2 linked regions of the Arabidopsis thaliana genome follow. The protein of the gene in region 1 interacts with the protein of each later gene in a biochemical or structural test. Each region holds a gene or a part of one and is shown on either strand. Other genes may lie near its edges.

Evidence for each region. The genes of interacting proteins can lie anywhere in the genome.
Region 2: the proteins of GBF4 (region 1) and GBF3 form a complex in vitro, tested with the Arabidopsis thaliana proteins (one study listed by BioGRID).

The regions. Positions count from the first base shown.
Region 1 is NC_003070.9:1,015,749-1,026,346, reverse strand, and holds GBF4 (G-box binding factor 4), read right to left. Parts: upstream 8,248-10,598; 5' UTR 8,111-8,247; coding exon 7,298-8,110; 3' UTR 7,100-7,297; downstream 1-7,099. Other genes in the region: AT1G03990 (Long-chain fatty alcohol dehydrogenase family protein), read right to left, coding at 1-482, 779-1,054, 1,252-1,500; AT1G03982 (PAK-box/P21-Rho-binding family protein), read left to right, coding at 3,211-3,339, 3,435-3,516, 3,601-3,923; PCS2 (phytochelatin synthase 2), read left to right, coding at 4,476-4,547, 4,904-5,365, 5,529-5,692, 5,783-5,834, 5,933-6,160, 6,255-6,441, 6,568-6,743, 6,953-7,036; AT1G03960 (Calcium-binding EF hand family protein), read right to left, coding at 8,875-9,015, 9,164-9,289, 9,396-9,552, 9,898-10,007, 10,121-10,268, 10,522-10,598. UniProt on the Arabidopsis thaliana protein: Binds to the G-box motif (5'-CCACGTGG-3') of the rbcS-1A gene promoter. G-box and G-box-like motifs are cis-acting elements defined in promoters of certain plant genes which are regulated by such diverse stimuli as light-induction or hormone control.
Region 2 is NC_003071.7:18,995,171-19,005,768, reverse strand, and holds GBF3 (G-box binding factor 3), read right to left. Parts: upstream 5,590-10,598; 5' UTR 5,342-5,589; intron 4,956-5,341; 5' UTR 4,911-4,955; coding exon 4,845-4,910; intron 4,758-4,844; coding exon 4,713-4,757; intron 4,631-4,712; coding exon 4,535-4,630; intron 4,442-4,534; coding exon 4,358-4,441; intron 4,271-4,357; coding exon 4,229-4,270; intron 4,145-4,228; coding exon 3,938-4,144; intron 3,850-3,937; coding exon 3,801-3,849; intron 3,715-3,800; coding exon 3,539-3,714; intron 3,448-3,538; coding exon 3,370-3,447; intron 3,259-3,369; coding exon 3,133-3,258; intron 3,048-3,132; coding exon 2,868-3,047; 3' UTR 2,366-2,867; downstream 1-2,365. Other genes in the region: TRIP-1 (TGF-beta receptor interacting protein 1), read left to right, coding at 376-559, 708-923, 1,019-1,152, 1,250-1,369, 1,480-1,569, 1,663-1,749, 1,850-1,929, 2,038-2,113; LRB1 (BTB/POZ/Kelch-associated protein), read right to left, coding at 7,306-8,137, 8,216-8,495, 8,723-8,786, 8,887-9,005, 9,143-9,277, 9,403-9,658. UniProt on the Arabidopsis thaliana protein: Binds to the G-box motif (5'-CCACGTGG-3') of the rbcS-1A gene promoter. G-box and G-box-like motifs are cis-acting elements defined in promoters of certain plant genes which are regulated by such diverse stimuli as light-induction or hormone control.

The DNA of each region.
Region 1 (10,598 bases):
ATAGCATCAGGTGTTTTTAAGGACGCTGCCCAGTTTACCACAGAGCCACCACCGACTGTTGATCCTGCCATGAACCGGAACCTGCCATCATGAGTCATCATCAAGCTATTGGACTCAAACAGCTCAAACATGGAAGGGCCCTCGAGAGCTGAGTAGTCTCTGGGGGCAAAGTAGTTCCCCTTCTCGATAACTACCACCCTAAGGCCCGACTTTGCTAGAATTGCAGCTGCAACCCCTCCGCCACAGCCAGAACCCACTACCACTGCATCACACTCGATCTTGTAAGTGTCCCTTTCTCTGTCTTCTGTGACTTTGAGGCCTTTGTTGATCATACGTTGCTTGATGGTCATCTCATCTTCTTTTGCAGTCTCGATGATCCCTTCATCTAGAGGTCTTTCCTTTTGTTCCATGTCCTCATTTTCACCAATTTCCACGCTATAATTAATTGCATCCCATACTGGGTTTTCTGAATTTTCATTTGTCTGTCCATGCATTTGAATTAGTTATACATATATTCACAGGTAATAAAACATGGAAAAGTTCTTGCTGGTTGAAAAAAGTTGTTCGAACCATGATAGGGATTAGAAACACAACCATCTGGTTGAAGACATCGCACTAGTCCTAGTGACCTAGCCGTTTTGTGGGAATAGAAGAAGAACACATCATTACTGAGCCAATCAATTCCAGCATAACTTATAAAGTCTCATGTTGCACCTTTTTTTTATAGTTTCTAACGAAAGCGAATGACCTGTTATGCAGAGGAAGATGGAAGACTTACCCATGTGAAGTAGTAGAACAAGAAGATGGCTTTGATCATCATAAAGCCGATTCTCGCTAGTGGGTTATACCACTGTGTGTTCCATCTCTGAAGAACCTTTTCCCTCTTCTCCAGGGACATTTCAGAGAACTTGAGAAGAAAAGGCCAATGCTTCTTGTCAAGACAGACTAACCCGCAAAGCAGTAACGTCCCCAGTCTGAATGTGAGTATTCTCAAAACTATTCTCACCACTAAAACTGTCAATGGTATTGCCTTGGTCGCCAGTAGCTCTGCCACCTGATTTTTTAATCAATTTATTATCATTCCAATTGCACGTAAGCACTAATAAATTGTGCACTGAAGATAACGTAGAGTAAAATCTAAATTTTCATCACTCTATATACCTTAGGGTTCATTAAAGATTATGCTATTATTAATTATATTCATAATAGTGTCTTTTACTGAGATGATAGAGAAAGTTGGAGATAAACAACCTCATCTGGTCGAACATGAGACTCAGAAGAAGAAGACTTGAAGAAAGATAAGAGTGCATCGTTGCGCAAAACCTTCAACTTCATCTCAAGATTTAAGCTCTCTAATGGAACAGGAGGCATAATAGCGTCGCAAATGGAAGAGAGAGCTTGGAGGTCAGATTTTGAGAATCCATGGCTGAAGCTTTCTTGTTTCACACTCCATCTCAACAAAGGGCTTCCTCTCTTCCCTAATCTTCTTCCTCCTACCATCTCTCTCAGCTTTTAGGTCCTTTCTCTCTTTCTTAATTCCTCTTTACGCTTAGTTCTTTTTTACACAAACATATATATAGACATGCGAAGAGCTTCTAGGGTTTGAGCATTTTTCTTTTCGATTTTCTCTGCAAAACTTGTTGTGGGAAAGTGTAAGGCGGTTCCTTAAGTGTTGGGTAATCAGAAAGAAGGACTAAAACAAACTTGAAAGAGATTGTTTCTTTTTTGAGTTTTGAGATGATTATGTTTGTTTGTTTGCGTCTGGAAAAAGAGACCACAGATTACGTATCACGTGTGATGTATACGAATACGTATATGTGTCTTGAGTCAGGTGTGGGATACATCAGGAGTACACGTGACAAACGCAGCATCGTACTGTTGTATTACAATATGTTACATGTGTATATTTTCGACATCACCGATAAAATAAAGCTCTCAGATATTCCACCACCAACATATAAAGTCTCTCTCTCTATATATATAAATCATTTGTTTTTAGCTGTATATAATATAATTATGACAGCCTTTTCTTTTTCAGGTGTCAATAATTGTTTTTTTTCTGGTATGTGTAGCAGCCATGTAGAAATAACAACATTTCTGTGAAATCAGATAATATACATAGTCTTCAATTACATATTTCAATCGTTTTTTCCAGCTATATACATCATCCTCAAAATTTTATTAATAGTTATAGTACGTTTGTGAATATACTACTTATGTGTGTAACACAGTTTTACTAGCGTCACAGGTTTTTTTTTTTTTTGAGATGCCAGCAAGAGTATCTATCTCCCGATGGAGATGCTCTAATGGTTATTGCCTACGGTTCATGGTTCTTGGGCCTCTTGGGCTCTCTTGCTGGCGAATCTTGGGCTTCTCCCTCTGTTTGGGCATGTTTCCCCTTTATGGGTTTTGGCCTTCTTTGTTTTGTTTTATCTTATCATTCTGTATGGGTCTGGCCCAATATGTTGTTTCCATCTTATCCTCCTAAAAAGTCAATAAACATGAAAACCCTTTGACAAAAAAATTAGTGGCCAATAATTGATTTGTTTTTACTAACAACTGCTGATTTTCTTTACAGTTTTACCACATTAAGATTGCAATAGAGAACAAACAATAAAATTAGCCTCATCGATTTTTTTAAAAAAATCTACTTTAAACTAATTGTCGTTCACTTAATTAGTTTTTTGTTTTCCCTCCATCACATTGTTAATTAGTTCCATATCTGGAACTGGAAACAGAAAACTTGATATATTAGCTCTCCATGCACAATCTCCTTTTCCTATTTCTTTTTGTTCATAACTGAGTATTTTGATTCAACCTTTTTTCTTTTTCCTGGAGAAAGAAAATTTTAGGTCGTAGAATGTTAAATCAAAATGCTTTCAAAGAAATCACTGACAATGGCTCTTAATCGATCGAGCCGAAATGAAACTTACGTGATTTCTTTTCAGTTCTGAATTCATTTCATTCTTATAGCTTCCAGGAGAAAAACAAAATTAGTAAACACAGAATAGATTATTTTTTTTTCTCTTAGAAACTATATTGATTTGTTTGGCTATTTCATTATGTCAACCTACAAAATGAAGAGCCTCGTGAAGGGTCTTAGGTATTTTTCTCAAATATTTGGTGAGTTTTATATATATATACTATATACTATCTTCTCTGAATGTAGCCTAATAATTTTGTAAATTTCTCGTTTTAATATTACATTTTATGATCAATTTGCATAACGCAGAAAACGAGAAAGAGGCAGAGATGCAAATTGGAACTCCAACAGATGTAAAACATGTTGCTCACATTGGTTGGGATGGAGGCTCTGTCAATCATAATCCACCCAGCTGGGTATTTAATTTAATTTTCAATAATTTTTTGGTCTATAGTATAACATTAACTAATAAATCATTATCATAAAGTCAAAATAATGAAATTCAATGTAGATGAAAGATTTCAAAGTATTGGGTGGATATTCACCGGCGCTTATCGGAAATATCAAGGAGGATGCTTCATGCATTTTTGAAGGTGAGCTATCTAATATGGAATAGTACTATAGATATTTTTTTTTGTAAAAGAAGAAATAATTATAAATAAAAAATGCACATGCAGATTCGACTCGGTCACGTGATATACCGAGACTTCCAAAATCGTCGAGAGAGCGTTCGAGCACTTTAGGTGGTTCACCAACAAAAGAACGATCACGACGACGTGGATCTTCACAATATAATGGAAACCCTAAAGTTTCACGGAGATCATCAAAAGAATCTTCTGCTATTCCTCAAGATGGTGGTTTTAATAAGAAATCTCGTAGAAAAAAATCAAAGGACTGTGTAGATGGTGGATCTAGAAGATCGTCACGACGAGTACGTGGATCTCAAGTAGAATCTATAAGTGATTCTTCATCAACGTCTGATGCAGGATATCTAACTTAAGACGATAAAAATTTGCATCAAAATAAATAACATAGGTTACTAGGGAAATTCAATTAAGCTAGCTACAGTGCTGGTTCTTGTGAGGATTTGTTACCTATTTTATTTGATTAGTTTAAAACCAACGTGCCTTCATGGCTTCAGAATAAAATAAAATAAACAATTTCCCCAGTTGCAATAAAGAAAAAACAGTAGGTGAGTCTTAGTCAAGGTCAATTAGTTTTCAAATCAATAATTATTTTCCAAACCGATCCAAACCGGCTAAATAACCATCAGTCTCCGCGGTTTAAGATTTGACTTTACCAATCTTCTCTTCTGTCTCTCTCACACAACTCAGTCCCTCTTCGACGTTTTATTGAATCCGCATTTTGAAGTAAATGAAAGACTTCTCTGCGAACGTTACTCTTCTTCATATGTGAAGCATTGCTCCATTTTTTAGGTAGTTCATAGAGAGAGAGAGAGAGAGAGAGAGAGAGAGAGCTCTTCTTTTACATTGTTTTCGAACCCGTCCCTGATTCTTTCGGCGCAAGTTTGCTCCATAGTCAAACTCTGACAATGTCTATGGCGAGTTTGTATCGGCGGTCTCTTTCCCCTCCGGCGATAGATTTCGCTTCTTTTGAAGGAAAGGTGCGTTATTTCTCAAGTGTTCGATCCATGGATTCAATTGAAAATTCAGGGTTCTGGGTTTTAACTTTTTAAGTATCCTTGTGCTTCTGGTTAGAGATGATCACTGATTTGGTTTTTGTATGTTGATTGATTTGGTTACTTCTCTATCTGTATAGAGTCTAGAAATTGGATTTTCTTGGGAACTGTGTAAAACTCGTAAAACCCTAAACCCCTTGCTGTTTTTACAAGTTTAGTTGTTGGTGAGAGATCTGAGCATGCTTCATGATAAATGGTTCACGAATTATTGATAGCCAATTTAGTAGAATGGGACAAGTTCTTTTGCCCTGAGAATTTAAATGTTGTCATTGTCTTTGCAGCAAATCTTCAATGAAGCGCTTCAGAAAGGCACTATGGAAGGATTTTTCGGGCTGATTTCTTATTTTCAGACACAGTCTGAGCCAGCTTTTTGTGGCTTAGCTAGTCTTTCGATGGTTTTGAATTCTCTTTCTATTGACCCGGGAAGAAAGTGGAAAGGTATACATACCTCTACTGGAGAGTACATTTGTTGGTGGGTTTTTGAATTTTTTTGGTTTCTCTCAGGGCCTTGGAGGTGGTTTGATGAATCAATGCTGGAATGTTGCGAGCCGCTTGAAATAGTGAAGGATAAAGGCATTTCATTTGGAAAAGTGGTCTGTTTAGCTCATTCTTCAGGAGCAAAAGTCGAAGCTTTCCGCACAAATCAGAGCACCATTGATGATTTCCGCAAATATGTGGTCAAATGTTCAACTTCTGATAATTGTCATATGATCTCAACATATCATAGGCAAGTACTCAAGCAGGTATCATTTTTTTGGCCTAAACTCTGTGTATATTAACAGTTATATGGCAATTAAGTGAAATTCATTAGACTTAATGTTATTACAAAGTTTGATAATGGTGAAACTCTTTCATGTCTTGCTATGAAGTCCCATGCTGATCGGATTCTAATGTCTATGATTGCAGACTGGAACTGGCCACTTTTCACCTATTGGTGGTTATAATGCTGAAAGAGATATGGCTTTGATTCTTGATGTCGCTCGTTTCAAGTATCCTCCTCACTGGGTTCCTCTTAAACTTCTTTGGGATGCCATGGATAGTATTGATCAGTCAACAGGGAGACGTAGAGGGTACATGGATCTCTATTCTTTTTCTTAGGCTTCACTTGTATGATTAAAGAATGTAATCCGTTTCTTTTTGCTATTCTGCTTTACTTCCAGGTTCATGCTTATATCAAGACCCCACAGAGAACCAGGATTGCTCTATACATTAGTAAGTCCAAAGTCATGGTTCTATTAGTAGTTGCTGCTATTACAATAACATTTCTTTCGAATAGGACTGAGTAATGATATCTTGATTATCGATTTCAGAGTTGTAAGGATGAGAGCTGGATCAGCATTGCAAAGTATTTGAAGGAAGATGTTCCTCGTCTTGTAAGCTCACAACATGTTGATACTATTGAAAGAATCTTATATGTTGTATTCAAGTCACTTCCAGCAAATTTCAACCAATTTATCAAATGGATGGCTGAGATTCGAAGAACAGAGGATGTAAATCAAAATCTTAGCTCAGAAGAGAAATCAAGGCTCAAATTAAAGGTATTATCTTGTCCATTTGCTTCTGAACTTTAGTTTTCCATGTTTATATTCCATCAGTTTATTCATCACTGTTCTATGGTTCGTTTTGCTGTAGCAAGAGTTACTGAAACAAGTGCAAGAAACTAAACTGTTCAAGCATGTGGATAAGTTTCTCTCCTCTGTGTACGAAGACAATCTGCCATATGTTGCTGCTAAGGTTTATTGTGACGGAGATGAAATCTTATCGGGATATGAATCAGATGAATCCTGTTGTAAGGAAACTTGTGTCAAATGTATCAAAGGTATGTTTGTTCTTACATTCTGGTTATCTTTCTAAGCGCTTCAGAAACCTTGGCTTGAAGTTAGTAGTGTGCAAAGTTCTAATCAAGAAATCACTTTTTTCTTTGAATTTCTTGTTTTACATCAAGGTCTTGGTGAGGAGAAAGTGACAGTGGTAGCTTACCCATCCGGGAACGATGTGTTCACTGCTCTTCTGTTGGCTTTACCTCCACAGACGTGGTCAGGTATCAAAGACCAGTCACTTTTGCAAGAAATGAAACAGCTCATTTCCATGGTTAGCCACCCGACTTTGCTTCAACAAGAGGTACATAACTAAGCCAACTCTTCACTTGGAGTCTGAGTTATATATCTTCTAATTCTTAGGATAAGAAACAGAAATGAAACTCAGTTATATAGTCTGAGGATTACCTTCTGAAGCTGACTCTTTTTTAAGGCTGAACTCCAGAATCCATTAGATGAGAAATATGTAGTAAAGTCAGCTAAGTTAAATCGTTTTCCTTTGGTGGGTTACAGGTTTTGCATCTACGACGCCAACTTGAGATGCTAAAACGATGCCAGGAGAATAAAGAAGACGAAGAACTCTCTGCTCCTGCCTAATCAAACACAACCAACCACTTTCTAATTTGAATCGACCAACAAAATTGTTAGGGAGAAAAAGAATTTATCCCATCTAGTCTGGTCCATAGATATCTTATAAATCAGCAAAAAGCTATGTATTATCCATTACATCCCTTAGATACATTACAGGTAACTAAGTACTAACCATATCACCATCACTTTACTATATAGATTATAATATAGTAATCAAGCCCATATGTTTTTATTTTTTTTACATACAAAAGTTTTTTTTACCACACTTCACCATTCCAAGGAATGGCTCCTGCTTAAGGGCCTCGACGGTGGCCTTGGTTTCTCATCGACCGGAATCAGAACCTCCATGAGCTTCTTGTATCTCTCTTTAGTGCTCTCTTCAATCTCCTTCAAAAGCTGCTCATTCTCCTCCTCTAACTTGGCAGCCAAAGTCTCTAACTCAACCTGATAAGCCTGTTTCCTCTCTCGAGACCTAGCAGCGGATTCACGGTTCTTGATCATCCTCTTCTGTCTCTGAGCTGCAGCTTTATCCATTGCCTCCATCATCACTCTCCCTCTCTTTCCTCTCGTTACTCCTCCACCCATTGATCCTTCAACCATCTGGAACGAACTGTGTCGCTGCATCGGAAAATCAAATGTATAGCTACCGTCGTTGTTGAGTCTCTCCGTTGGAATCTTCACATCGATTTCATCTGAAGCTCCCTCGTCCATTTCTGCTTTCGCTAAGAAATCCTCAAGTGTCATTATATCTTCTGGTTCTTCTTCCTTCATCATGATCGTCTTTTGCTCTCCAGATACAATCTCTTTCCAAACATCGTCAACACTCTTTCCGTTGTTAACGCTGTTCCGATCTCCGATACTCCGATCAACATCAATCGCCATCTCGAAGGGCTTTGAATCAGACGCGAAAGTGTAATCGTTGACTCCTCCGCCGTAAGCGAAACTGATTCTGGAGTGATCGGCGTGAGGATTTGGTCGGAGATGGTGCGATGATCTTATAGAAGGGGAAGATGAAGCAGAAGAAGAATTACGGCGAGACAAGTCGGAATTGGAAGAAGACATCAACTTGAAGGACGCCATTTCCGGAGCTCACTGGAATTGGAACGAATTTTTATCTATCTGGGTTTTGTCAAAGAGAAAGAACAATCGGAAATGGTGGATTTTCTTCGAACCAGAGATCGAGAGAGATCTTTCTAGGGTTATCTCTAGTGTTTTGCAATGTAACCACGCGCTTACTCTCTATATACAAGTTTAATTAACTAATCACGCGCACATTAAACGCGTGACTTGCACCTTCTATCAACTATACTATAAGGAGATGTTTTTTCTTTTCTTTTTAATTAAGAAAAAAGATTTACTATTCAGATTTCTTTCTCTTTTTTTTTTTATGAAAAAGATATCAGTGCAACTAAAGAGATTTACAATTCAGATTTCTTTCTGAAAATATATTCGTGTGACAGTAAAGACTAAAAGAGTTTAACAATTCAGATTTATGAGTACATTCTGAGTTGGACAATCCAACTGGTTATATGGACACTAGATGATGTAGAGGGAGAGAGGGCCCAACTTGATATAATCTTTATAATGAAACCAAAACAAAATTGCAAAAATTTCATGAATTTGGCTGAGACTCTTTTGGAAATGATGATGAAAGCGTCTGGTAACAACCAACAGTGACCTCCAATCTCTGATCATGGATCTCTCTCCAGGGAAAACCTCAAATCATAAGTCTCCTTATTTGGTTGGTTTCTGTAGTCAAGATCGGCTTTCGACTCAATAAATCACAGAATTTTATAAGCATTTGCATTTCCTATACACAAGCAGTGTGAACTTACCACTATGGACTAAAATGGAGGTTCGAGTGGTTCATCCCAGACATCTGCACTCCCATTTGAGACTTCATCTACATCTTCCTCCATTGACAATCTCGCATACTCTCTCTGAGCAAATCGATCCCACTCTGTCAAATTTGGATCTTCCCGTTCCTACAGCAATGAAAGAGAATTATACTTGTTCTAATTGCCTCAATCCGAACTACTACAAACTGCCTTTAGCAGTTAAAAGAAGTCATATTCTTTGTTATTTTTTTCCCTCTTGAGTGCTATAAAAACTCCACTGGTAAGCCAAACTTACCTGGCGAATGAGAAATGGGTCACGTGTTTCAAATGCCATGAACTTATTAAGGTTGAAGAGTATATTGAAAACGTTTGCTGAAAGTTTCGATCCTTTCAGATCCTGGAGGGTGATACAGTTCTCCTTCTGCAAGGACATCCACCATATAGATGATTCCAGTCAAATAAATGATAAATAACAAAAAAGCTCGGAAAAATCAAACAACCATGTTCTGGTTTGTAAAGTAACTAACCTCGGGTCCAATCATGTCAATTATTTGACATAGGATATCACTGAAAAGAACAGCTTCCTGGGTTATGCATTCCATGCGATGCAGCTGCTCTTCGAAGAAAAACTGCATTTCGTTTGAAGTGATTACCCCATTTCCATCCAAGTCTACGCATTTGAACCTGCACGGAAAATTTCAATCAGTGTCAAGTAAAATACACGGACTTGCAAAAATATTGAGTTTTGACATCCATAATAGATAGATGAGCATACTAGGCTATAAACTAGTATCAGATTGTTAGATTGTTAGTGCCCGAGTATAAACAAGGATCCTATGTTCATGAAAAAATGGTACCATACAATGATTACTAAATATATCTGAGGAAGAGGACTTGTTACAAGTAACAAGTCCTCAAGTCACTGGTTTTGACTCCGTTGTAGTATATATATCAAGATCTTGTGATCTAAACCAAGGGGCAACATTCATTAAGGAAAACCAATATCAACACGGAGGGGGAGATGTGTACCAATACTCAAGACTAGGCTCGGAAGACTTGTCTTCCTCAGCGAGAATGAAGTACACAAAATCTTCATAACTCATCTTCCCTTCAACTTTACTCGTAAACTTCCTTGGAATCTAAAAGAGAAACATAGCCACAAGACGCATGGAGATCAAATAAAAAGGATCACATCATACTATATAACTTAGCTTTTAAGAAGGTCTAGGCAGGAACAATTTTGGGAACCAACCTGTGAAAATATTCTATCAACAATCCTGTAGGTAAGGGCATTATTACCATATTTGATGAGATTGTCCTTATCAATAAAACAATCATGGTCACCATCAAGTTCCCAAAATTTGCAGTATATCACGTAGAAGTGCTCATAGGAGAAGTACCTGAAAATTAAAAGAAACGACATGATTGCAAATGGTAAAATCAGGCATAAGTTCTGTTACAGAAGCAATATGAAGGTATAAGCCAATACTCATATAGCTCTTCCATTTTGAACTGTTTAATGTTACATATGTGATAAACCCTCGAACTTTAATATATTTTCGTAAGCTTGTTTACTCCTTATATAACAACAGAATATGTTTGAATTTCAAATACTTATTGTTAGGAAATTATGAAAAGAAAAAATAAACTCACCTAATAATTTTATTAATGTCGTCCTCTTCATCAAGTTGTTGCATAGCAGCAATTAAATTTCCACGTCTCAGCTCTCT
Region 2 (10,598 bases), on another chromosome or scaffold:
CATATGCACCCACAAAAAAAAAACGTATGAAACTGCTTTTGAGAAAGGAAAAAAACAAAATAGGCGCAACGGGCGAGGTTCGAACTCATCAAATAGGGAAGAAGCTAAAAACGCTGAAGCCACTGAGCTTTGCTAAACTGTGGCATCTCGAGTAATTTAAAAAATTACAAAAGGGTAAAAGTGTCAAAAGAGAGGACAAAGTTGATTTCCTAGGGTTTTTGCACTTCTTCCTCGTCGTCTCTCTCGTCTTCAAGTGAACAGGTGAAGAAGAAAGCCGTTTTCCGTAATCGTTTCTTCAATTATTTTTCTTGTCTTTTGATTGATTCGATTTCGTATCTGTTTCAAAGATTCGCATCAAACCCTAAGAAACTGAAGATGAGGCCGATCCTGATGAAGGGACATGAACGTCCATTGACGTTTCTGAGGTACAACAGAGAAGGAGATCTGCTTTTCTCCTGCGCCAAGGACCACACACCCACCCTCTGGTTTGCCGATAACGGCGAGCGCCTTGGAACTTACCGTGGTCACAACGGTGCTGTTTGGTGCTGTGATGTCTCCCGTAAGTTTCTCAATTTCTCTTCAAATAGTATCGAGTCGATGATTAGATTCATTGTTTCCCCTTAGCTACAAGCTTGTTTAGGGTTTATAGTATCGAGTGAATTCTGTCGTCTTAGTCTTTCAAAGCTGAATGTTTAGTGATTTCTTAGGAGACTCGTCAAGATTGATCACTGGTAGTGCTGATCAGACTGCAAAGCTGTGGGATGTAAAATCTGGAAAAGAATTGTTCACTTTCAAGTTTAATGCCCCTACGAGGTCTGTGGATTTCGCTGTTGGAGATCGTCTTGCAGTGATTACCACTGATCACTTCGTGGACCGTACCGCTGCTATTCATGTGAAGCGTATTGCGGAAGATCCTGAGGAACGTAAGTTGTACATTCCTAGCTGAATTACTACTTACGTTTTAGCCAACTTCTTGTATGTGTTAAAAGGAAATTGTTTGTTTGATGCAATTGTGTAGAGGATGCTGAGTCTGTGCTTGTCCTTCATTGTCCTGATGGAAAGAAGAGGATCAATAGAGCTGTTTGGGGTCCCCTGAACCAAACTATTGTTAGTGGTGGTGAAGATAAAGTTATCAGAATCTGGGATGCCGAGGTATTTCAATTTTTCTTAAGGCCTTACTTGTGTATTAATTTCTCTCTTTTAAGGTTATGAACTAAACCTTATGTGGTGCTACTGCCATTGTTACTAGACGGGAAAATTGCTCAAGCAATCAGATGAGGAAGTGGGTCACAAGAAGGACATTACATCGCTCTGCAAAGCAGCTGATGACTCTCACTTCCTTACAGGTTCACTTGACAAAACTGCAAAGGCATGTGCTTCTTTCTTTTACTTGTACAGTATATCTTGTTTCAAATTTTTGCACTATACATATAGATATAAATCATCTAATAGAGTGTTCTCTTTTGTTGATTGTTTCAGCTTTGGGACATGAGAACGCTGACTCTTCTTAAGACTTACACCACTGTGGTGCCCGTAAATGCTGTCTCCCTGTCTCCACTTCTCAACCATGTATGCACTAATGCTTCATGAAATTCAATTTCGAATCCCAGAATCAGCAAGGCATGATGTTATCTTTGTGAATGTTTCTGCTCTCTCTTTTAGGTTGTACTTGGAGGTGGTCAAGATGCATCAGCTGTGACTACCACTGATCATCGTGCTGGAAAGTTTGAAGCTAAGTTTTACGACAAGGTTAGTGTTTATAATAAGAGTGTTTTACTTGGAAACATGTAACCTGGAAAATACACATATTTAAATAACCGTGTATCATTGTGTTTGGTATAATATATAGATTCTGCAAGAGGAAATTGGTGGTGTGAAAGGTCATTTTGGACCTATAAATGCTTTGGCATTCAATCCTGATGGGAAGAGGTAAATTAACAACATTTGGATTTTGATTGATTGACACAATCCTCACATGATGAGGTTTTGAGTGTGTGTTTTGGCTCTCTCACTGAGTTTGTGGAATGTATATTTCAGTTTCTCTAGTGGAGGTGAAGACGGTTACGTGAGGCTGCATCATTTTGACTCCGACTACTTCAACATCAAGATTTAGATTCCGACTACTTGAACGTCAACCTTTTAGAATCTTTGAAAAAGTCTCCCATTCCGGATTTTGTTTTCTCTCTCTTTTAACATTTTCATGTTTTTATTTACTACCAATACAAATACCTTGATGATAAAGCTTTTGAATTTTGACAGAATCTTTAGTTTTCATTTCCAGAGTTCTCAGTACAAGTTAATTAACCTGCTCTATGTGTGAGCGAGCATTAATATTCAGCTTTTATAAAATAAACTCGGTTGTAGAAAAGAATGCCTTGTGTGATTGACAGTCCTCAAGAGTAGCGAAGAAAATCACCCAAAGACAGACTCATAATGTTTGTGATATTCGTGATGATTATTGGATCTATAAATTTTCGGAGAGAGATGTATGAAACCTGAAAAGAAAGATCCTTTATGCATGAAACCTTGACAAAAGAAACAAAAGCTTACGCAAAGCAATAACACCGATTTCATAAAATTACATCAGGTCTAAAACAAGGAAATGCAACAAAGGAAGCCATTTTATAAAAAAAGAAAAGCCTCTCTATATTAACAGTAACAAACCATAACACCAAATTTTCATCTGGAGGAAAAGTTTCTCTTTCTCCCTCTCTCTCTCCGAAAATTTATAGATCAATAATCATCACACCTCTCTCTCTCTCTCTCTCTCTACTATACTATCTATCAAGTTTTTCTGAAATTAGTAGCACTTATTTTCTTTGTTTATGTCGACAAATTAAGTAGAAATCGACATGAATTACCATCGATCAGCCTGCAGCTACTGCTTTAGCTCGAGGCTTCGTATCGAGCAGTTGATGCAATTTGCTTGTAGAGTTAGAATCATTGTCTCCTTGGTTCTTGTTCTTATCTCCAGCTCCTGAGTTCTTAACTCTAGACAACATATTTGCGGGGACTCTCTTTTCGGGTTCCGAGCATTTCAGTTTGTCCTGCAACCCAAAAAGAACCGGCCATGTTCAAGAAAATGACACGCCTTCATAAAGATAATTTGTTGGTTAATGATAGCTTACTTACCAACAAGGTTGCATTTGCTCCTCTTAGTTTATCAGATTTCTCATTAAGTTGGTTTAGTTCAGATCTTAATGCCATGTTTTCGGCTGTCAAGGCTTCCACTTTCCTAGCAAGTTCTTCTGTCTCGGCCTTCAAAACAAGGAAAGACAGTTTGTTAGTTTATTAAATGTTTTGGTGAGAGTTACACACTAAGAGAAAGAATTTCTAAAGAGCTTCAGTGTATTCTTTCAGTAACCAAACCTGTTTCCTTAATCTTGACCTTCTAGCAGATTCTCTATTAGACTGTTTCCTTCGCTCCCGTTTCAGTTCTCTCTCGTTCTGAAGACAAAATTTAATACTTGGTCAGGGAAACGGATCAGATTAGCTCGAAAATCCAACAAGTGGAAGTTGAGAATAAGTCACAGGGTACCTGAAGCCAAGTTTCAGGAGGAACCATGGCTAAAGATTGTGACATGAAGGGGTTGGAATTTGCACTTACACCAGGAGAGAGTATAGCTCCAGATCCTTGAATGAGTTTTACGCCGGTATCACCACTTGACGGAGAAACAGAATGAAATGAGCTAGCTTGAACCAATTGTTTCCCATCTGCCAAAAAAACCGAATTAAAACTCCCATTATATCTAATATTTACACTGATTCTAACTCTTTGGGACATGAATAAGGCTATATACCTTTTGTTGGAGTTCCCTCTCGACTTCTTTTAAGTTTCGGTTCATCTGCCTGGAAACATGCAATAAGTGAGGTTCTAGACTTTAGACAATCATATGAAAACTAAAGATAGCTGAGAGTAAGAGAAGAGAAACATTACCCCAGTTGTATTCCCATCACTTCCATCAGTAGAACCATCAGTTTCTGAGCTGTTCCGTGATCGTTTATGTTCATCTGCACCATTTTCAGGATTCCCATTTCCTAGAGACATAGCAAGCCCATCAAACTCTTTCAGCTTCTTCATCAATCCATTGTCTGTGTTCCCTGTAGATTTAGTAGGAGTGTCGATGCTCAAAAGCGTCCCCGGCTGCGATAAAGAAGAACTATCCATTAAACAGCGAACAAAACCATTTCTCAATCTTTGATGTATCAAACTAGGTATACAACTTACAGTTGTTAAAGGTGGATCCTTTTGACCTTGAGGCAGTGATCCCTGTCCACAGAAACTCAAAGCCAAGTCAGATAAACGATCACGGAGGATTCAACTACGAGATGTTTGAGGAACAGAATTACTATATACCATGGGAATACCGGGATGAGCGTAAACTCCTCCTCCATGAGGATAAACAGCAGCATAGGGTGCTCCATATGGTGACATCATATGCTGAAAGGGATTTAAGACCAACAAAACACCAATGAAACGTCTTCCTAATCTTTACCATATTAGCACAAGATGATTCGTGTTTGTGTTTAGTACCTGAGGATTCCACATGTAAGGAGGAGGAGGATGACCAGATGCAGCCATAGCTGAATTGTAATAAGGAGGCATTGCTACTCTTGGACCATAATATGCCTAGCAGCAACACATCATGAAAATCATTATTAATCATGGTATTACTAGTACATAACTGGAGCGTAATAAAAAAAAGACTAACCTGCATAGCTGCCCAATCAGGGTAGACATGAACATTTGTTTGATCCTATCAACAAGAGTCAAGTCAACGCATAAGGAATTTAAGAAAAACTAAATTGACTTTGGAATTATGGTTTGAAACTGTTCAACATACCACCGGGGGTGAAGATGGTTTATCTGATTTGGTAGGAGGCTTTGGTTCCTCGCTGCTATTTCCCATAGGAATGGTTTCAAGGTTTCCCACTCAAGAGAACAATGACTCTTTCTGCAAAATCATGGGGATGGGTGTTGTTGTGTGAGAAATATAGAGACAGAGAAGGGTAAAATAGTATTTCTCTCTCACATCCTATGTTCAGAAAACTTTCAGGAAGACAAAAGGAATCAACAAAGTAGACACTACTGGACAATTCTACCCCTGAAACAATCACATGCACCCAAAAAAAGAAACTCTGTTCTTCTCTACGCTTTAGCTGTTTTTGTTCAAATTCAAAACTTATAATTTTTCATTCAATTCAAGTAAATGCAAAAGCAAACGATCAAAAATGGCAAAATTTTCACAAAACTTAGAAGATCAATGAATGATAGAGAAACCAAATCACAAAACTATTCGACCAAACAATCTCTATTTGAACCATTTAAGTTACGCAATACCTACAAGAATCCGAAAGCTCCTTGAAGAAGAAACGTAAGCAGAAGATGAAGAAGAAGAAGCTTAAACAGAGAGAAACCCAGAAATTTAAATCGCGAATTCGAAACCTAAACAGCAATTAAACGCATTTTCATCTTTCTCTCTCTCTAAAAAAACCAGAGCGAAAAAGAGTTCAGTTTTTTTTTTTGAGGGAAGGGAGACGCGAGAGAGAGAGAAAAAAAACGGAGCGCCAAGACGATGACCACGTCATCAGACACGTGTCATGAGAATATATAACAGCGTAAACTACGGTGGTGTTTGATGAGTTGGCTCATCGAGTTTAGTGCCAGCCATTTCTTATGTCATCTCTACCGTACACGTGTTCGATTTCTAGTCGCTCTACGCTTCCCTCATGTTTAGATTATTTTTATAGTCGATATTTACCATAGTGTATAATCCTCTTCAAAATCCGTCATCACATTCACACGTCAGTGAAGTCATGTGCAACATAAAAATAAGAAAACTAAACAATCTTTCCAACGAATTTTCAGAATCATTATTTTTGTATGGCATGAAAATAAACACAATTTAACTTTTGCTACTTACCGATGGGCATATTTGTTTATTATATAGAATATTGCTTCGAATAATTTGGATACATGATAAAAATTTGATTAGAAAGAAGGGACATTATGGTAAAATACGAAGGAAGAAAAGACCTTTGACTAGTAGTATCTCCGACGCGGAGAGCACTTCTGTCGACAAAACTAAAGATCCGAACCGTCCATTATTCACTACCGATTCGTATCTTCCAAAGGTGCCACGAGACGACCCACGTGTATGGCCACGTTTTTGCCATCATGGAATCACCATAAAAGGAAAAATAAAAAATACTTTTTTAGTTTATTTTCTTTCATTATTATGAAAACAAAACAATAAAGAAAAGGCCCACAAGCCCGACAACTGCTTCGAATCCAACGGCTGGGATAAACAAATGATCCAACGGTATAAACTAAGCCACGCCAGTAGATAGTTATTGGCATTTAGAGGCTAAAGGGCCAACGAGGCTTTTTTTTTTTGCGTTGGCGTAAAAGAGCTTCTATCCACGAAGTGGTCCCTACATTACAAAATGCGACTCACATGGATGTATCTACGTGTCGGTTATCCATTGGGTGATGTAGTAAATATTGTCTGGGCTCTCTATTTTTGTTTATTTTTATTTTGTGTACTGTAGAAAGAAATCAGAGAGCATAATACTAGTACTAGTATTATTCAACTTAGGTTTTCGGTGACGTAAGCAAAGGTACAGACCACATCAGCTTTGAATATAGACCGTTGATCTCGGTTTCTCGATTAGAAAAAAATCGACGGTTAAGCTGCAATAAAAACGTGTGTTTTATATAACTTCGAATCATCTGACGTGGCCATCAATATTTTGTAGTGGAAAAAAAAAGTGGGGTCGATAAGTCAGAAAAGGAGATTAATCATCCAACGGCTCAAACGTGTCCCGACAAAATGACGTGTCCGTCTGGTAAGCGGATAGTCTTACTTACGCATTTATGTGGGCCCCATGTGACGAGGACTCAATTCCTCTATCCTCATTTCCTAAATTATCCTTGTCACTTCATTCTATTTCCTCGATGTACCATTGCTATAGCCGCATTGTTTGAACTTTGAATATAAAAGCCTAATGTTCACACTATAGGCAATTTAGCTTCATCATTACGCATCGTAGTAGGCCTTGAGCCCATATTTTAAGACTAACCTCAAAAGCTAGGCCCAAATTCTATCTTGGACTATTTATAAAGACCCATATAGAAAAGTAAAAAAATCCAATCAAAGAATTTACAGAATGAGGTACTCTTTAAGCCATACTTTTGCTCCTTAGGCAATTATTGTACAAAGGACACTCGTGGTTAGAGCTGCTACATAACGAGATTATACAACTTAAATGTGACGACATAGAGAGAGAGAGAGAAGAAAACAGTCAGTGCAGGTCTGAGGAACGTTTAATGGTGAGCTCGGCTCTGAGATGGAGAATGCCATTGATGAAATGTTGACTGTCCTCGGCTATGAACGAAGTCCATGGAATCCCGAAAAGGTTTCTGTAACCAACCGCTTTCCCCCCTGTGAATGTGTAGTTTCCTTTGTATTTGCTTACGTATTCTTCCTTTGTACTTTTATCTCTTGCCGCAAATTCGTAGTCCACACCAAAACTCACAGCCCCTTTCTCTTGCATTCCGAGGAATAGCCCAAAGCAGTGGAACGAGCTTTGCTGGTCCATGTTGCAGTGTGCTGAGAGGAAGAAACCTTGACCTCCTAAGTGGAAAGCCTGAGAATAGACTCTTCCTGAAGGGAATAGTCCTGCGCATTCCTCTCGCTTCAAGTCCAGGTACACTACACATTGCGGGCGAGGAAGCTCAAACTCCACCACTTTTACGGGTCTGTATTTGTAAGCCCTCTCTATGAAACGGCGGTTCATGGAGTCCGATCCTTCAGCTGCGAGGATGCGTTGCCTGTGTGGGGCTTCTGCTTTGAAGAAGAGCGCTTCTAATACTTGCTTTGATGCTACTTCATGCTCAAAATCACTGCACGTTAGTACCTTTTTCAGCTTTCGACACGTCATGTATGGGAAGCGGATGTAGAGTGCAAGGCGTGAACCCAGAATCTCTCTACGATCTTCCAATGAACTATACTGTCCCCTTGCCCATTTCAAGACAAAATCATAAACAGCATCCTCAGAAGCAATTTGGAGATCATCGCTCGATAGTATCGCCTCTATTCCAGCCAATGGTAAGGCCATAACCTCATCATGAAACCTGTACAAGATGGTAACACATGAACAAGAATTATACAACACTAGAGTAAATGCATTTCAAACCACTGGAGAGTCTTACTTGGTAATATCCTTGTAGCGCGAGGCAAGGAACTGCTTTGCTGCATCGGTTAGAGGTTGCACTGCTTCAGCCATTAAAACACTAGAGGGCAGCTCAAGATAGAGCAAAGCAGAATCAGGGGTCATGGGCATATTTCGCAGTAGTCTACTACAATACCTCATACAGGAAGCAACCTCAAACTTGTCAGCAGCCATAAGAACATCTAATAAAGCGGGTGCTGTTGTGACACTTAGAGAGTTGCTATACATAAAGTTTAAAAGCTCCATCAAAGCACCTTCCTCTACAATACACATAAAAGTAGAGCATGAGAAATCAACAATGTGGACTCCCTTAAAGCTAATATCGTATATCATATGTAAATCAAAGTCAGCAACTGAGTTAATACAAGAGGCATAAAGAATCCAAAACAAGAAGAAGCCAACAGAGAGCTAGTAGAGAATTGAAGCCAATATAAAGAGATTGGAGAATAGCAGAAATGAATTAAAAGCTTGACTTAAATTGTCGTACCTTGTGCACTAATTCTAAGGGTTACATGTCTTTGTTCTGATTCCCTCATTCCATTAGAAAACAGCTACAACAGGGTAAGGAAAACAAGAAGCAAAAGATAGCATTACATGCGAGATGAACAAGAGCAAACAATAAGAACATAGAAGAAGAAAAAAGGTTAATACCTTGTAGAAAAAGGGGCTTTTTGCGGCCAAGATAGGAGAACTAATATGCAGTTCTTTAACTCTAACAACAGTAGAACAATCAATACCCCAGTTTGGCTCACTAGATGCATCATCATCACCTACAAAAACCATTAATAAACAAAGCCATCACGTTTCAGACAAATGACTTCAACAAAAAACGCTCTTCTGAAAATTGTTAAGTATCACAAATTCAAACCCAGTCACTCGAGAGACAATGTGAAATTTAGAACGGTACCTGATAAAGCCTCTTCAACCATTGCCTCTCCTTCATCGTCAAGATTATCACCACCAGGAGCATCATCCATATCAGGTTGGTTGTTATCGGTTAAAATCTGTTCTTCAGCACATGCCACAATGTCTGAAATCGCAACTGGAAATGCAAAACGTATAAGTTTCTTAAACATTTAAACCCAAAAGCCCTAAACCAACCATAAGAACAATTCATAAAAACAACAACAAAATCTGAGATTCCAACCGATAGGGAATCAAACGTACCACCATTGTCCTTCTTGTTGTCCTCTCTTCTCCTCTTGCGATGACGAGCCCAATCGGCAATACTCGTACATCCTTCAGCATCAGACCTAGAATCCGAAGGCCCACCCAAGATCTCGATCCGGAGCAAACGATCGGAGAAGTTACTGTCATTGAAAGCGAAACCAAAATCACCTTCGGAGGAAGAACCATGGCGAGAGAAATTGGAATCCATCTCCGTCTTAGGGTCAAATAGATCGGTGTTATTGGAACCTCTCATCCTCCTTTTCGAAAACCCTCTTCTCCGTGTCTTCTCTCCGGCGAGAACCGAGCAGAAGAATCAGGATAACAATAAGGGTCAAATTCGAAAAGGTTTTTTTGAGGAACGAAAATGACAAAGAAACACTAAAAAAGTCTTTCTCTGTTTTTTTTTTCTGAAACAAAGAGCGGGTCGACGTTGAACGGTTATGGTAACAGGGCGGTGACGGATAAAGGCTAATTAAAGACAAAGAGGTTCGTTAATGCCAGCCTAACTAATTGTTTAACCGGTTTGGTCTTTTGATTGTAATAAGCACTTTGGTTCTTTTTCCGGTATTTTGCATAAATCGCGTAGGTACGATTTTGATTTTGACTTATCGGATTCGATTTTTAGTATTTGGGGGAAATTTAGCATTTACTTAATTAGAGGAGGAAAAAGGTAATAGGCAAAATTAGGAGTGTATTTAGTTGGAAAGCGTCAAATTTGGTAAGAAGACAACTCGTTCAACAAACGGCAATGCCTTTTATGTCGTTAAATATTCGTTGGAATCAAAGTCTAATTTGGAGTTTTCTTTTAATAAAATACAATTACTTCAACGTTTTACAGACTTTGTTAATTAGATTTTGACCGAGTGAAACTTGGCTATGCAATGATAACTTGACAAAAAAAAAAGGACTAATTTATAAATTGAAATCCGGCCGGTATACATTTCTTCGTAGGCCAACACATGACAAACCAGTTGACTATGTTGTGTACTACTAGGGATCATTTGAGATGATACGACTTAACGTATCGACTACAAGCAACCCAGCTGCTATTATTTCTTGAAACCATCGATGGTATATTTTCTCAAACCAAAACAATTATAGTGTACTTGTTTCGATCTGATCGAAGTTAAACCTAACTTTATTATTGTTCTTGTTTTAACTAAAAACGTATCCAAGACCAGTTTTGATGAATA